Drosophila melanogaster: one gene and its partner. The protein of the gene in region 2 interacts with the protein of the main gene of each other region in a pairwise test. Each region holds a gene or a part of one and is shown on either strand. Other genes may lie near its edges.

Region 1 (7,983 bases), on a different chromosome or scaffold from region 2:
AAGCACCACTTAGATTTGATTGCAGAAGGTGCATAATATAAGTATATATATACCTTTATAGATAATTTCAATATTGTCATAATTGTTGTATAAATTTGCCTGTAGTGTAGCTCAATCTTCGGCTCGAAACTTTTAGCTGCATGTCCTGGCCGACCAAACGACTTTTGCCCTGTCTTGATGCCTGGCACGGCTTCGTCTGCCATTCAGTGAGAGGGGAGGGAGGAAGGGCAAGATAGGGGGTGGCAACGAGGGGGGTGTTGCACAAAGCCAACAAATTATGCACTCACACACACACATACAAATGGGGGGGTGGTGCAGACAACTGCGTCGCTATTTGAGTTATGTACCAGTATGTATGTGCAAAGGAGCCGGCACATGGCAATGCCATCCGCACCACCACCGCCATCCCCTTTCCACGCTCCCCTTTTTGCAACGCCCCTGCACCACTTGAGCTGTACTTTTTTTTTGGCGTCCTTTGAGGACCCGGCACTTGCAACTAGCGACTCTGTGCCAGGTCTGTCCTTTCGGCCCGGCTGACATCTTCTTACTCCATTTGGGCGCGCTGTCGTGTTAATTTAGCGCGAAATATTTGACAAGATGACGCGATGCCACAGTCCCTGCGCCCATTTGCACCCCTCGCAATGGTGCACAGGCAGAAAAAACGGGTCACTTGTGCAGTTCAGTCTTTTGACTGGCTTGCAAATACGTTTTTTTTTTCACTTTGGCCAAGGACTAAAACATGGACAAACTTAAGCTCTCTCGTGCAAAACTGCTTTTATTGCGTTAATAGCTACTTCATTTCTTGCAGTGTATGCCAGGACAGGCACTCTTGTCGACGGCAGTAACGATCGAACTTCAGTCTCAGTCTCGCTGTCTGTGCAACAGACACTCATATCGATTTATAAGATGCCACACACTCCTGACATTCGATAGTGACTCCACTGTCGTGTCCTGATGTCCCGATGTCCTGATGTCCCGATGTCCTGATGTCCCGATGTCCTGATGTCTCGATGTCCTAATGTCCCAGTGTACCGCCCCAAAAGTCCTAGAGTTGCCGTGATTGAGCTGCGCGGTCGCTTTAAGTGATTTGCTCTCTCCAGCTAATTCGCAGACAATCCAACGTAAAAGCCGCAAGTGACTATTGACAGTTTGAACAAGGACTACACGAAACTTGGTTCTGGATTCGAATCAAGAAGATCACCAAATATATATTATTGAAATACTCAATTATTAGCGAAACTCTTGATTTTATCGATTTATTATGCCATTCTTTTTAAGTTAGTAACCAATTCAAGTGACTCGAAAGTTTTGATCGCCCATGCCATTTATGATTCAATTCAATCTATGCCTATGGCCACAAATAGTCGAGTAATTTATCGTATAAACTGCATTTTCAAGCCAAACTACTCACGGCCCAAATCAGCCGCATAATCAGCGCTATCGCCATCATCATCGGCACTATCATTATCATTATCATTATCATCATTGTTCCTTGTCGCGTCGTTGGGGATCGAAGGTTGTCGTTTGCTATTGGGGGGGTTACACGGGTTATTGAGGGTTACAAGGAGGTTACAAGGTGGTTACAGAGGGAGGAGGTTCATAGTAGGGAGCCAGCCAACGACAGACAGAGTCATTTATAAAATTTCCACCCGAACGTGTTAAATGGCGTCAATATTAAAAGTTCAAATATGACGCTGACGATGACGACGCTTGGGGAAAATGGGCAAGGGAAAATGGTTATGTGCGGGTGCATGGACGGTGACTTTAGGGGTTCGCGGGTCTAGGGCGTGATAAAATCGTAGGTTTGGCCAGGCAGGCAGACTAACATATATAGACGGCAAACGAATCAACAAACGTTGAAGCTATTATCGTTGTCGCAACATCGCACAACTACAGATACAACTGCGGCGTAACATGCATGGGTGTCTCTGGTCTAAGATAAAGGGGGTTCGTAACTGAAGTCTAGAAAGGGATATTTGCACTTTTAGAAAATAATAGCTACAAATCAAAGTCTTGAAAGTTCAAAAGCAGGCAATCATCTTGTTTTAAAGAGTATCCTGGTACCTTTATGTCTTGTCTTAAATGTAGTACTTAAATATACGAGTTTAGATCCCTTCTGCGAATGCCACTGCATACACACACACATATGGCATATGGTCCTTGTTGCTATTGCTCTTGCTGCTGCTCATCATCATCTTTTGGCGTTAGCAAGTGCTTGGCGGCAACTTCTAATGGCGGCATTATGCCCGCCAAACTCCACCCCCCTCCCCAAGCCTTATTCTGCTCATGAGTGTGTGTGTGTGTTTGTGTGTGTGTGTGTGCGCCCTGCGCAAAATGAAAATGAAACTGTTGCAAAATCCCATAAAACGGCCAAAAAGCTTTTGTAAATGACGCCAACAGCTGTCGATGGCAAAGCAGACAACGTCGCCGTCCGCCCAATTTGCCAAAGCACCCACCCACTCACTCATGAAGCCCCAAACACCCCCCCACCCCTTCGGAAACACCCCCTTCGTTGTACCACGATTGACATCTATGTGTGGGTGCACCGCTAAAAAATACTTCTATTTGAAATGATCGCTTTGTCTTAAGGTTTTTAAAACATTATAACATAGCATAGTAATACATAGTAATACTGAACTTGCCACAATAGAAACATTTGTATTCGATTTCAGATTATGTAACGCATATGTGAAATAATTTATTAGACTTAAATTGTTTTCAATACCAAATTGTTTTCACTGCTTAATTGTGTGTTAGAAATGGGGGTTAGATGGCGCTGCTAGTGGTGAGTGGGGCATCGTGAAGGTTTTTGGCGCGTTTTAATAAAGCGACAATGACATTTTATGAATTTTCCACTTTGTTCTCGGTCCACGCCCACAATACGCCAACCCAACACCCCCTAACCCGCCGATGACACCACGATGCCAGCCCCTTTGTGCTGTTTTCATTATTTGTTTGTTTGCCGAGAACCACAGACTGGCGGCCGGTTGGAATCCAGGACTCCAGGACTCCAGGACTGTAGGACTCCAAGACCAGGACTTCCAAAACTCCAAATGAATTGACATTGTCTGTGTATTCGACGGCTGGTTCAGTGTGTGTGTGTGCCGTGGGTTGGAGGGGGCAAGCCCCCGTGTGTGTTAGTGGGTGCTGGTGCCTGGGTGTTGCACAAAGGCGTGTCCCAGTGTGCCTTTTGATATCGGATTTCATTTATAATTAGCTGCAAAGTTAACGGTTGCCAGCCATACCTTGACTTGTGGTTGGTGGTGGCCCCGGTCAAGTAATTTGCTTGTCAGTTGGGTTCCCGGGGTTACTTGGCTCACCAGATGGATGGCAAGGCTGCCATGGGGCTGCACTGCAGGTGGTGGAAGCTGTCCAACGGCCAGGAAGATGTCGTAGTTTAAGTTAAAAGAATCTTTAAGCAAGGCTTTTTTTCCAATATTCTAGCCCCTTTCGATTGCAAGATAACTTAAAATTTAAATTATATTACCATTTATAAATGCACATGAGTAAAATTGTTATTATTATTATTGTTATATATAAATATATATCTATATAAATTTATTTAATAGCTTATAACATCGTTATCAGTGTGAACATTCTATAATCCTCCCATGCATTGCGGTAAGTCGATGATCAATTGTATCGATCGATAGCAAGCTTAATCTATCGGCGTAAGCAGCGTAGCTCTCATAAAACAATAACATTGAGAACCAGTCATTTCAACCACATTGCTTTGGCTTTGCCATGGCCAAGATATTGCCCACCGATGGCATCTGGATACCGGAGTCGTGCAGCTTTCCGGAGGATGTGATGATCGATATGATGGAGGGACTATTCCGCGATGTGCCAAACCTAACGCACAAGGAGTACCTGGCGCTGGCCGACCTGCAATCTAGATGGATGGCGAAGCTGGCCAACCGACAGCCGGAATCGAATCCCCTGCCGCCAAAGCCAAAGAAGCGTAAGAAAATCGCTCCAAAGAAGCAGGACCAGCCTGTCGAGGAGAAGGGCAGCGAAGTCGACATCTACGATGTGGACGACAACGAGATGGTCAACAATCGCATCTACATTCCGCGACTGCGTTCCGCTTGGAGAGCTCGCTATTTCAACATTATGATGCGCGCCTTTGTCATCAAACGGGGACTATTGAATAAGCACATTAACTGGCAGATTCTCGACAAGATCATGGCAGCCCCCGACGCAGAGGGACAAGCCGAGCTTCAGGCGTTTGTTGACAAAGTGGTCGCAGGCCAGGAAATGTAGTCCTTACAGCCTCCTAGGATAAGCACCCAAACACATAGATATGTAAATTCAAAATATCAATTGTTTACTCAAATTAAAAATAACAATTGTATAATCAAATCAACCTTTGTAAAATCATACCAATTGAACATAAGCATAGGTGTGAAGCAAAACCAGAGCCAATAAACCATACGAATGCCATCGTCTTCTGTGGGCCAAATCAACAAACGTTTTCCCAATTTCCCCATGAACGGCTCGGTGCCACACACCGAAACATGGGAGAAGTTACAAAGTAAATTCCACGCCCGGTTGCCAAGTGGTAGTCCAAATTAACAGCTAATTACGTGCGAATGAGAGCTACCCGGTTGGGGGATGTGGTCCAAATGTACTGGCTGCGAGCAAAATGGAAAACGGGGCAGGTCACAACGAACACGTACTAGCAACTAAATGGAGAGAAAGCGAGACAGACACCGAGTCAAACAACATTTGAATACGAAATTGCCCTTGAAAAAAGGGTTGCCAGCAAAAAAAAAAAAAAAAAAAAAACAATCAAAAAAAGTACAAGATATTCCAAAAGTCCCTGCGAGGCGAGAACAAAAGTGACAAATTAGTCAGTGGGTGGGGGTGTCAGTGGGAGGCAGTCGACACTGAAAGCGTTAAAATTGAGATGGGGTGCGCCAAAAATATCCACTCGGAAAACGTTGAACTTACATATATAATGCAAGACAACTTGGTCGTTAGACCGGGTCTTTCTGTATTCTTTCTGGTCATTACAACATAATATTGTGGCGGTTGTCATAAGGAAACTTTCACAAATCTGCACACGTAGCTCGATCTCTTTTTGCATAATTACCAGCCAAGTCAAGAAACAATAGGTAGAGGTATAGTAAGTATACATTATCATTTTTCTTTCAAACTTCAAATTGTATAAAATCTGTTCAACGTTTAAGCAACTACAATACGGCAAGTCAGAAAAGAAAAGTTTTATTTTGCTTAGATATTTCATGTTTTTGATCAATTTTCTTGCATTGTTTCTCTATATATATTTCAATTTGGAATATGGAAATGTGCAAATACCCTTAGTTGATTGTATTGAATATTGTATTGTATAGTTGATTGGATTGAATATCTAAAGTTGTTCCCTATTATGTATTTTTTCAGCTGCCACTGTGTGTGGTTATTGTCGGTTTGTAGATTTGTAAGCAATGACTCTGGTCCTTAGGATCCAGAATCCAGGATCCTTAGGATCGGACTTGGAAAATTAACGCCCCAAAAAGGGATTGTGTCGTTAAATGGGGGCATTTGCATTTCAGCACCCGGTTTAATGGGAACTGAAAAGTTCTCCGATGTTTTATCCAGATGATTTAACGGTGAATATTCCGAACGTATTCGGTATCTCCCCATCGTGTTCGATGCCTAATTGTACCCCAAAGTACAGGACGTCGCCAACGTTTACTTCGCACCAAGAACTGCCGATTCGCGTCGGCCAATAGTTAAGAAATATGCCATTATTGGTTTCCTGCGGAAGGCATAAACGATAACCATCGGTTGCACCATCGTAATACGCATCTTACCATCTCCTTAATGAAAATGTCTCCCTGATTAACGTGAATAAGAGCATGATATCTCGACATATAGTCGTACTTCAATACCCAGGTGCAAGAGGAGTGGCGCCCCAGAATTTGGATGCCCTCGTTCAAGTTAATCCGATCGCCAGTGAGCACGTGTTCCAGATAGAATGTCATTTTTCCCACCAAAACATAACACTCTTAAACTTGAAACGAAATGTTCTTCTTCTTCTTTAGAGTCTTTCAAACTAACGCCGCAGTCAATTATCGATTGTATTCGATAAATTTAAGTACTAAAGCATTGTCCATGTGCTTGTGTGGTATTATAATACCAAAATAATATATATTAAAATATATTTACATGCAATATTTAACATTTTGACTTTTTATACATATGGCATATGTAAACATACTTAACGATGAAATGATTTAATTGACTTGGTGGTATATAAACCAGATGCCTTGTAATCGATAACTTATCGCTGAGAATCGTGATCGGATCGCTAAATATCATCGAAGCCCAAACAATAACAAGCAAAGTTTAAACCAATTTGCATGGTAGCTTTTGCATAAATAATTGACTGAATAACTGACTCCGCTCCGGCGTAATTAGCCAGAATTCATGGAATAGAATCCCTTCACCAAGGGATGACAACGCTGCCGAGGCCAAAAGTCAAATACCCGGACCAAATGCAGTGAGCCAAAAATAATGAACTCCAAATGAAGTAGAACAAAAAGAAAACACAGTGTTAATTATTCATATTTCATTAGCGCACAGCACAGAAGAAACTCAGGTGAAGGCGATGCGATGCGATGCGATGGCAAAAGGCAAAGGCGTGTGCCATCTAAAATTTATAAAAATCAAAGTAAGCACTGCGAGCGCAAGGAGAATAACTTTCTGATGGCCGATCACTGGTATACCCTACATATATGTAATAACATCATATTAAATTATCTTATCTTTGCAGAATTGGAAAGTTGGGTTATGGGAATGTGGCACGCAAATCGTGCAACCAATTCTTGGAATCTTAAAGCTTAACTGCATACTTTTCAATAGTTCAATCTTTATAAAATTTATAAATAGTTCGGGTTTTCAGTTAACCAATTACAAGTTACAGAACCAGATAGTTATATAATCCTTCTCATAACTATATTCTACCAAATGTTTCCCTTTTAATTCCTTATGAGAATTTGAATAGATATTTTCCGACTAGTCTTCTAATAAGTTAAACAAAATCTGCTGAACTTTAAAATAAGATTCATATCATTTCTGTAAGATGAGCATAAACATTTCATAGAGCTTACAGTGCAAGCCACTCGACAAAAGTAAGCGACTCTGCCGAAGGAGTGGGATGAGAAAATCGAGGAGCTGGAGGTCAGCTCCGCAGCGAGTAAAACAAAAGGGAAATGTCGAAAAGGAATCTGGATACACATCATCATTTGTCTTGGCGGCAAGATGGCGGTGGCCACCAAGGCAGCGGAGAGTGGCTCCATTTAGGCCAGGCGCACATTGATGAATGAAGTGCGTAGTGGCTATAAAGGCCAAAAGGCAGGCAGCATTAAAAATGCACACGCAATCAGAAAATGCCCCACGACGGCCTCATAAGCCGAAGTCTGAGGACTCAGGACGCCAGAGCCCAGAACCCGGCACTTTCGACTCCGTGCCCCAATGCGAACCAGGTGATGGATCAGCGGCCTCAGATAAGACAGGCGAAGAAGGACAAGAGAAGGAGAAGTTGCAGATGGCGATGGAGATGGGGCTGAACGCAGAGCCATAGCCAGATCCAGAGTCGGGGTAATGAGTGAGTTGAATTGGGGCGGCTGCCATCAAATGTTGTTAACCCCTTTTGAGCCGGGCCTCTCGCCGTGGAGAAACAATTTATAATTTGTTTGAGGGCTTTCAGCGGCCTTTCAAGGCAATTACCCCGCATCCGCATGGCGGACAGCAGGATCTGACTTTACCTTTGGCAGACCAACTGCGAACTTTGGCACCCAGATTGGTCAGGATTCGAGCCCACTACTACTGACTGGGTCATCCTGTTGGCCATTCTCCATTTTCACGCTGTGATGTATTGTGAAAACGACGAGCATGTTTCCTTTGACGGAACACCTTCATTTGCACTGAACCGAAACGAAGCAACTTCTAGCTATGCCAACATGTATACAACTAACT
Region 2 (9,705 bases):
GTATCCTGGTAGCTAGTCCACGTATAAAGATCTGATTCGGTTCTTCGCATTTTATGCCCATGCTAATAGCGTTTTCGTGTTCCCTGACAGCCTCGATAGCCTTGACAGCCTAATGGCCGACCGCACCAACCGCAATCTTTAGCTAAACCCCATCTGGCTGCCTGGTGAACAGGACGGCGGGATGATTGAGTCGCCGGCCCTGAACTCTTCCCCGGCTGACGCTGGAGTCTGGGCACGGGAGCGTGACAAATTCAGTATCAATCTACACAATTAACTGTACCAATATGTCGGAAACACTTTCCTGGGCATTCGTGCAGAATTTCTGCGTTCGATAAGACACCCGGTAATGTGCTCTCCTCAGGCCGGCTCAGCTGCAGATGATGGAGTTTGGGTATGGGGTATTGGGTTAGGCACTGCAGCGCACTTGCAAACTGTACGAGTCTTTTGCCTGGGATGTAGAGGTAGTTTACATATGTCCCAGGGAGGGGGAATTGGTGCTCAGGGCAGAGGGCTGCTCTATGTAAATGGCCCAGCTCAGAGTGGGTTGCATGCTGTCGGTTGATAAGCATTCAACTTAACTATTCTCACCCTAGCATTCGCTCTTTTCTCTTTCTGAAAGCATTCTATTATTTTCCGAGCGATTGCACAGTCGCTGATTAAACAGCAGCCTCAATGGGAACCCAATGACTTTGCCTAACGCCTGGCCGGGGTTGAAGATGCGGACGGTGATGCGGACGGGGATGCGGACGGGGATGCGGATGCGGATGCGGATGCTGACTGGATAGGACCTTGCTGTGTATCTAAAAGCGGTGGCTGTCATGTGTGGTAATTTTTGTCGCTGCGCAGCAGCTTGAAAGTGAATTATGTATACCGCCCGTCCGCACGTCCATATCAAAGTGTATTGATTGAGTGCCAAAAATAAAATGCTGGGGTGGCTGTTTCCGGTGCGACTTACCTTTAACGGCACTTAATTGGTTTCCAACCATCTGCTTAGCTATGAAGGCCGCCATCTTTGGGCTGTCGCTCTAGGGGCGTGGCTGCGCCTGGTTGTGGTCCTCTGCTTCCGCTCGAAGAGATGCACTTGTGTCCGCGCTGGCTCCTGAGTCCCGGTTGCTGGGTCCTGGGTGCTCGGTAAGCTAAAAGCGACAAAGCAAAACGAAAAGAGCAAATTAATTTTGTGTGCTGCAGGACAAAGAAGTGCCCTGTCACCTGGGTCCGCCTGATACTTTAAGCCGCTTATGTTAAATGCCTTAAGTCGAGTACTCTGCTGAAGCACTGTTTCACTAGAAACCGATCTCATTCAGTTTATGACTTGGCCAGAATCTCAGTGCCATTTATTGCTAGAGGGGCAAGCAGGCCAAGCAGCCCTGGCTGGTACTGAACTTAATTCGCAAATCTAATAACTCGAACCCCTAGTCCTACAGCACAATAATCCCGTAATAAATGCGGTCTACGTGTCTTCCAGCCGAAATTTTTAATTTTATTAACGCCCCAGGCTGGGACGCAGCTAGGGTATCTTATTGCTGCTGGCTGCGTCTGCATCGTCTCTTTGTACCCATATATTAATAATTGCGCAAATTGGGTTAACGAACTTAAGCTGGAGGCGGCAGCTTGTTTCTCTCTAACTGCGCAAGCAAACCACTTGGCCAGGGCTGAAAGGTGGCGAGGCGAAATGGACGGAATGGACAAATGAAGAGTGTCAGTTGAAGTCTGAATATCGCCTTCATTCCCCTTCTTCTTTTTATCCTCGGCTAATGATAGCGAGAAGACTATGACAGGCAGTTAGTTAGCAAACAGCTAAATATTTTATTGACCAGGGCAAGTGCAGTAAAAAATTCATTTCGGTCCCACCATCCCGCATCTAGCAGCGCAATAGATGGTCGGGCAAAATGAATCGGGAAAACAAGTTCACGGGCTCACGGAATTTTGGTGCAAACGAGACGAACTAACACATCTATCTGACTTAATATAGCTAAATAGAAGCGAAATTTATGACATTCGTGCTTAGAATTTTATGGTCGGGTGGCCAAGGTGTGGTCGCAACAGGAACACCTTCTTATCTTTGGGCCACTAAACATTTCAAGTTGACCCAAAGTTCTTCTCAGTTGGCTATCCAGTTACATTTAAAGTTTTCTAATACGGGATCCAGTCAGAAAACCAAAGCCAATAAATACGCAAATAAGCTGTGTGTGACTCCGACCCAACGCTGCACCCACGCTCCTAAGCATTTGGCCTTGGCCATAAAAGGGTAAGTATACCTCAAGTATATCATGTATACGCCTCAGGCGAAGCAGCTATGGAGCACTGCGATCGTTTCGTCTTTGGATAGTCTTCGCATTATTTTGAGGACTCGAACGATTGCGTAATGAGCTTGGAACTTTTTGCTGCCTTCGAGCAATCTACGCGTAAAATGTGCAGGATGCGGACGAACACTTTGCACAAATATTTGAAATAAAGTGCGAGCAAGTTTGGAGCATACTTGGGGCATACTTTCGACACTTTTTAGGTTGATGGACCACCCACATACCTGGCCTTAGTTCAGCAAGTATTCCTTTCAGATTTTGCTTGAAGATTCCTGTGAGTGCGTGGACTTGGTTGATGAGGAGCAAAGTTCCGACTAGTCTGCGCGAAATGTGTTTGTTCTAAGGAAATCCACTGTGAAGAGCGTGCATTAGGCAGATAGGCTTCCTGAAAGACAAACAGAGACACAGAAGGCGTCGTTTAGTTGTTCACAGTGCAGAGTTCTGGGCTTCCAGGGTTATATGGCTCCCGGGTTACGGGTTTCAGGGTTCGGCGGGGTCGAGCCGAACCTAGAGGACTGGCGCTAATTTAAAAATAGCAGACACACACACCAACACCCCCAGGGGTCGCATTGTTACCGATGTTTCGCTTGTCGTCGTCGTTATTGTGCTGGCGTGCCACTTGCTTCGTTGCTTTTATCGATATTTCTTTATTAGGGTTTCTTTTATGGGAGCGTGCACGTAAGTGCCTTTTTGAGTGGGGAGGGGTTCGAGGAGGCGGGTGCCACAAGCAAACAAGATTTTTACTTTACGTAATACGCGCAGCAAACAAATTCGATTTGACTCGGGTCCTGGAGTCGTATTCCTTTGGCGGCCGCCGTGTTTCGCTTTTTTCACTGATTCCGATTACATAAGGCTGCGCTTGCAGTGGATCACTCAGTCAACTGGCCGAGCAATTGAATTAGCTTGATAGAACAAATTCGCTTAATCAATTTAGGTTTTCAGTCGTGCTTTCGAGCTCGGGCCGTTCGTCGCTTTTTAAATACTACCAATGTGAGCCAGTATCGACATCGTGCGGGCACATATGTGCCCCACACAAACCCTCTATGTACACGCACTTGCTCTAGTGTGTTGGTGCGGGAGTGTGCTGTGTGTGTCCGTGCGCACTGGCAGTGTGTGTGTGCTTAATACTTTTGCTTTGCTTGCCACTTTTCACTAGACCGTCGCTATGTTTTCTCGGCGCTTCTTACTTCATGCTATGTTCGCACTCTTCTGCACGCCACTGCCAGAGTACCCTACACGAAAAACTCGGTAAACGTGGCTCGTTGCCGCTGTTCCGCATGCGAGCGCCTTACAAAGCGTTGGCGGAGGCAGTGGCGTCGGAGCCGACCGCGCCGCTGCGGCCCCGAAATCCAGTGAATAGCGGGCTTCGAGGGACCGAGCTTTAGCGCCGTCCGAAAATTCTCGGGCTCGGGTTTGAGTGCTTTCCCGCTCGGCTTGCCGAGAGAAAACGAGCACCACAGGCACTCACATAGATAAGGGCAACAATGGTGGGGGTGGGACTCGTTTGACGGCAAGATTGCAGGACCGCCAGGACTGAAAGAACCCTACCCTGCCCCCTTTCTCTATCTCTCTGTCTCTCTAATATATTTATCTGACTGCTATTTTTTGTCTGTTACATAATTCGATTCCCCTCTATCTCTATCCCTCTCAATGTCTTTCGCTCTCACTCTCTTCCTCCTTCGCTCTCTTTCTCGGTCTCAATTTCTTGACTTTTTGACTTTGAAATCAGCAGCAAAAGCGCTGCCTACATTTGGGAGATGGCGCCTGCGCCGAATAGCGTATACGCGATATCGATTCGTGGCGGTCGTGTTAGTGTTCCTGTAACATTTAGCATCAGGCTATGCCGTACTGATAAGACGCTCGCTGTGACTACGAGCCATTATCACCACTCGGAGCGAGAACCAGCCGAACTGCACCGCATCCCTCGGCTGCGCCCTCAACCCACTGGAACGGCCTTTGTTGGCTTGTCAGTGCCACTCTCGTTTGTTTGCACACATTCGTGTGTACATGCTGGGCGGACTGTGCTGACCAGGCAGCAGGAAGACGGGACCGGAAGCACATAGCTTTAAAGGAGGAAATTGCAAAGATCTGGCCACATCCGCTCATCTGTCCGCCATCGGACAGTGGTCGGGTCAAAGTCTATGTCGTGACAAGAGCTCCTATCAAGGTTGCCAAGGGCGCAGGAGAATACTCCAGACTTCTAATTAGTGCGACACAGATCCGACAGTGTTCATACCAATATGGCCGACTAAGATGGCGTCATTGTTTTCCGCTCAATCAATTATAATTTCATAGCGTTTTGGCAGACAGCTTGGTGGATTGGCACTGAATGGGAGGTTAGCTGCCTTCCTCGCCCGTATACAACTGAAGTTCACTCCAGCAAGTCCTTGCTGCACAGCGTGAGATAATTTTTCCTCCACAAATTGCTTATTACTTATGGCTCGACAAAGCGAAGCTCATTGTTTAGTATGATAGTCACGACCTGGCCACTAGGGCATTAAAGGCTGGGGACATAGTCCACTGGCCATTAGACCGCTGGCGTGGGGGACTTGCGCGGAAGGAGGGCGGACCGCGGACCGTGGGGTCTACCTAAACAGTCGGTCACGGAGAACCACAGGGCTTGGGTACTTTCCCCACACCAATGCACGCTACACTCTGCAATATCGCACTGATTGCCACTCGTCACGGACCCGTATACAAACCGAAAAGTTCGCTCTGGGGCGGTGGTGCTGCTGCTGGTGACCGAAACTACATTAACTGCCGAAAACGTTATACTGGTAGCCAGCAGCTCTTGTGGTAACAACAGCCGCCGAAACGCGAAGAGAGTCCCCAACGCAGAGAGCACTGCTGTCAGTTTTGACAGTTGGCCCCAAACAAAACGAAAGCTTGCTGGCCGAAAGCTTTTAGCCGAATTGTTGGTTAATAACGACTTTCCCTTCTGCCGGAGACGGCGTTCTTGCACGCCCTGCTAGACAAGGAGTCCCCTTTCCCATTCCTCATCAGTATTGACTGGCACGCTTACATAAGCCTCGTAGTCTGGCGTTGCGATAAATAAAGTGCACCATGTACGGGCAGGGATTGCTCGGAAGCGGAACCGGTGACAGATTATCCTCCGCTAATTTCTGAACATGTGAGCACCACATCCTTTGTGGGCCTTGCTTTTTAACACACCCGCCGGAAGAAGCGTATTGATAGCAGCTAATGCCCGAATTGGTTGTCGATACGCCGGGATTCCGACCAGGGCCTGCTCCTGCAGGATAAGCTCGAGTGCGGCGGAACAGGAAATTCCTGCGGGTTTTTGCGTGGGAGTAACGGTGGCAATTTATATAAATTATTTAATTAGAGCATACACGTCATAATGGGAAAGTGGGATTGCTTCATCGCCTATTTGCCCAGTTATGATTATTTTTTTCAGGCGTATTTCGCACATTCGCCTCCCGTATCATCAGACGACGTGAGGAAAATTGGCCACATTTTGCTCACTGCTCCAGCTTTTTTAAGAGGTAATGACAGCCAGGAGACCCGTTCGCCTGGACATTTTTAGCAGCATTTAGTTCAGCCGCGATAATTTATATGGCTTCTTTTTTCATAGACTGATACGTTTAGGTGATTAAAAGTATCATTAGTAGATTAGTAGTAGAGTTCTTCGACTGTTGTTTATTAATTACAACAGTATGTCTATACCATTATAGGAATTATACAAATATGCTCACAATTAATAAGTGCGGATGATTTAACAACTTGTTATACTCGTTAAATGGTGTACTATCTTCGTTGAAAAGTATGCAACAGGTAAAGGGAAGCGTAAAGTATAAATATTTGTGATCAGCAAAGTCAGGAACTATTAAAGTTAAAGAGTTGAGATTGGACATGAAAATTCCATTCATTCTAAATGTGGTCACGCCCAATCTAACGCTCACCATCCACCCAAAACTGCCATGCCCACAACTTTTGGAAATGTTTTCATATTTTTTTAATTTTGTTGTAGTCTTTTTTGCAATCGATTTGCCGAAATACTTTTTACCACGCCGGCTCTAATGCACAAAATCCGCCCAAACTGCCATACCCGCACTTTTTAATGTTGGGTAGAGATTTTTTGATTTTATAATGTCTTTCTAATTTCTATCGGCATCCTAAACATTTTTTTGCCACGCCCACACTAACGGTATTGCTGAGGCCGTGTCCCCGCCGCCGCGAAATTTACAATTGCTTTTCTTCTAGGTATTTTCAATTGGCATTTGTAAATTGAAGTTATAAGTCCCCCGTCACAAATAATGATATTGAAAACCCGCCGTCCAAAGCAGCCAGAACTGCCGCCTTGATGGTTGGTACGGTCGTTTTCAATCAATGAGAATTCGCAAAGATGACAACTCAAATTTTCCCAGTTTCAGCTTCAGCCACAGACATTGTCATTTCGGGCCTGCAAAAGCACAAGGCGGCTGCCGCAGGACGGCGTGCGGGCTTAAGCTGAGGGATGCGGCGGCTTTAGCGTCTAGCTGCAGAGTGGCTAAATTTAAAACGGTTTCATGTTGTGATTTTGACAAATGATAATTTTCCGCATGTGCTTGTGCCAGTCTTTGTGTTTGATATGTCAGCCGAGACTCGACTGAAATCGAGATACTCCTATCTCTGTGGCCCGGCGCCCATGCCTCCATGGCGGTCGATGAGTTGCTCATTGTGCAGGGTAGATAACTGTCCGGAATTCCGGAAATTCCGGAATCATTGCCGACAAGAAAACGTATCTCAAAGGGTCGTTAGGTTGGCACACACGCCTCTGCAAGGCGGAATAGTTTCTTTTGTTACAAGGACTTTTTACTTACTAGTCGTAATTACCAGCAAGGAGTTGGGTGCTGGCAACGCTAAATTACATTATTTGTCTGGGTCTGGCTTTTCGATAGATATTTGGGAATAAAACGAGTAAAAAATAAACAAAATTTTAAAATGGTAGTTTGGGGCGGTTTGTGGGCGTTTAAATGGGGGTGGTAACAAGAAATTTCAGAGCTTATAAAACTATGAAAAAATTTCTAAACATTTGGAAAAAGTTTGGGAGTGGTAGCCTTGCCTGGTTTGTGGAAGTTACAGTGGGCGTGGCAACATTTGCAAGCAAACATGCGCAAACTTCTATTGATAACCTTATAAATCGACTTCAAGCTGATATTGGCTTAACAGTTCTGAGTTCGATTTTTTGGTAACCATGGCGTTGCTTCGTTTATTATTATCGCTAAGGTTAGGGGAATTTTTTTGTTTAAACCTCAACGTTGCCCGATGTGCAGCACTTTGGAAAATAAGTCAAACCAAAGCGAAGATGAGCTTGACGATAAATTAACCCAAGAAGAGTATAAACTCTTGTGGCCCGATTTCGTGTCGCGAATTTCCAATCCTACCGTTAACAGCGTTCAACTTCATTGGTCTTTATTAAAAAATGCCTCGGTATACTGTATTGATAAGTTCCATAAAAGACTTGGCTGGTTACAGTTGGATTGGACTTCCAGTTCTCCCATAACAGTTACAAATCTGGAAGAAAACTTCGGATACCGACTACGCATAAAAGCGCTGACAGTTTCTAAGGATGGACATTGTTATGTGCCTTTGGCTATCTCACCTGAAATAGTTGTAAACATTATTAATATTATTAAATCGATTTATCAAAAACGTTCTGCTTCCAAACATGAAACTATGCACAATCAAACGTACATATATACATATTTTCTACAAATTTCTGGTTCTGCTGGTTCGAAATATTCATTTAATTTATATTTTGACAGTAGCTTAAATGGCTTTTTCTTTCGTTTTTACTCCTTGAAAAGTATGTTCAAGGCAGTAAGAAGCGTATCGACCGACCATATCAAGTGTATAAGTTAACACAATCACAAAACACCCGAAATATAGTCGTAAGCCTCAAGTGCTTTTCCCATCTATAGATCGAGCTTTACCTATAAGAAACTGTAACTTGTTAAGCTTTAGAGATAAGAACTCTTGCTATACTTAAGTCAGTCGATTTTGGAAGATTAGAAGCGTCGGTCATCGCCACGTACTTACTATTCGTCTCATTAAGTGCAGACCGCGCAAGCCCTATTGTAATTAATAAACTTACGCTAATAAATATATGGAAAATCTACTAAAATGATAATTGGCGCCCAAACGGATATAAAAACCTACGATAACTGAATAATTATAAATAAATAACAAAAGGAGGATCCGGAGACAAAATCAGCGGCTTTGGCTAATTAACTCTAACCTAAGAAATAAAAATTTCGTGATTACATAAAATATAATATTAATTACTAAGACCATCTACCTTAAAATTGTTTGTTAATCACTATTATTATATTGTAAGTATAACGCTTATTGAACGAATTAAAAATATTATTATTATTATTATATTATAACCTATGCAAAGAGTATTGATAATAAAAATACATGAGTGACAGTGATAACCTTTTAGACAACCTAGTGTCAAGCTTAAATAAATGGTCAGCGCACCAGGCAAGTAGGCAAAACAGTGCAGAAAAAAATAATAAGTCATCAGATAATTGGTGGTCAAAAACAAAGACAACTAGCGAAATGGAATTTGAAGCTCAGTTAAAAGCGATCGTAGAGAGTGCTGTTGCCGGTGCGCTCGCAGTCCAAAAACAATCATTTGAAAAGCAATTGCAGGAGATGAATGAGCGAATCGGGAAATTAACAGTGAACACCCCAGAGGTGGAAACTTATGTAGATGCTGAAATTAGACCAGGTGTTGTCTGTAGCGAGCCTCTAGATATAATTAAATCTCTGCCAGATTTTGATGGCAAAAGTGAAACATATGTGTCGTGGAGAAAAGCGGCTCATGTCGCTTTTAAAGTTTTCAAAGATTACGAGGGAAGTTCAACATTTTACCAAGCTCTTGGTATTATGCGAAATAAAATAAAAGGTCCAGCGAATACAGTATTGGCTTCTTTTAATACTCCGTTACATTTCAAAGCAATGATCAGCCGTCTTGATTTCACATATTCTGACAAAAGGCCGATCTATCTAATCGAACAAGAGCTATCAACTTTGCGACAGGGAGACATGACTCTTACTGAATTCTACGATGAAGTCGAGAAAAAACTGACCCTACTTACCAACAAGACAATAATGACATTTGATAGTGCCTTGGCGATGTCACTGAATGAAAAGTACAGGACGGACGCGTTACGTGTATTTGTAACCGGAGCTAAGAAATCGTTGAGCGACATTCTTTTTGCAAAAGGTCCAAAAGATTTACCAACTGCTCTCGCTTTAGCGCAAGAGGTCGAGTCGAACCATGAGCGTTACCAATTCGCCCTTATTTATTCTAAAAATATTGGAGACAGGGGTCAGAAAATCGAACAAAGGCACAGCGATAAGGATAGAAACTCAATCATGCCCATGCAAACTA

What was found.
Region 1: the proteins of cpx (region 2) and moon interact in a two-hybrid assay, tested with the Drosophila melanogaster proteins (one large-scale study listed by BioGRID).

Annotation. Positions count from the first base shown.
Region 1 is NC_004354.4:12,068,492-12,076,474, reverse strand, and holds moon (moonshiner), read left to right. Parts: upstream 1-3,656; 5' UTR 3,657-3,744; coding exon 3,745-4,263; 3' UTR 4,264-4,467; downstream 4,468-7,983. Other genes in the region: CG34323 (uncharacterized protein), read right to left, coding at 5,594-5,761, 5,817-5,987.
Region 2 is NT_033777.3:4,275,657-4,285,361, reverse strand, and holds the start of cpx (complexin), read right to left. Parts: upstream 5,142-9,705; 5' UTR 5,006-5,141; intron 4,978-5,005; exon of another isoform or gene 4,540-4,977; intron 3,658-4,539; exon of another isoform or gene 3,359-3,657; intron 3,199-3,358; exon of another isoform or gene 2,880-3,198; intron 2,738-2,879; exon of another isoform or gene 2,689-2,737; 5' UTR 2,528-2,688; intron 1,137-2,527; 5' UTR 1,011-1,136; coding exon 956-1,010; intron 1-955. Other genes in the region: flip (flippy), read left to right, coding at 7,569-7,916. UniProt on the Drosophila melanogaster protein: Positively regulates a late step in synaptic vesicle exocytosis.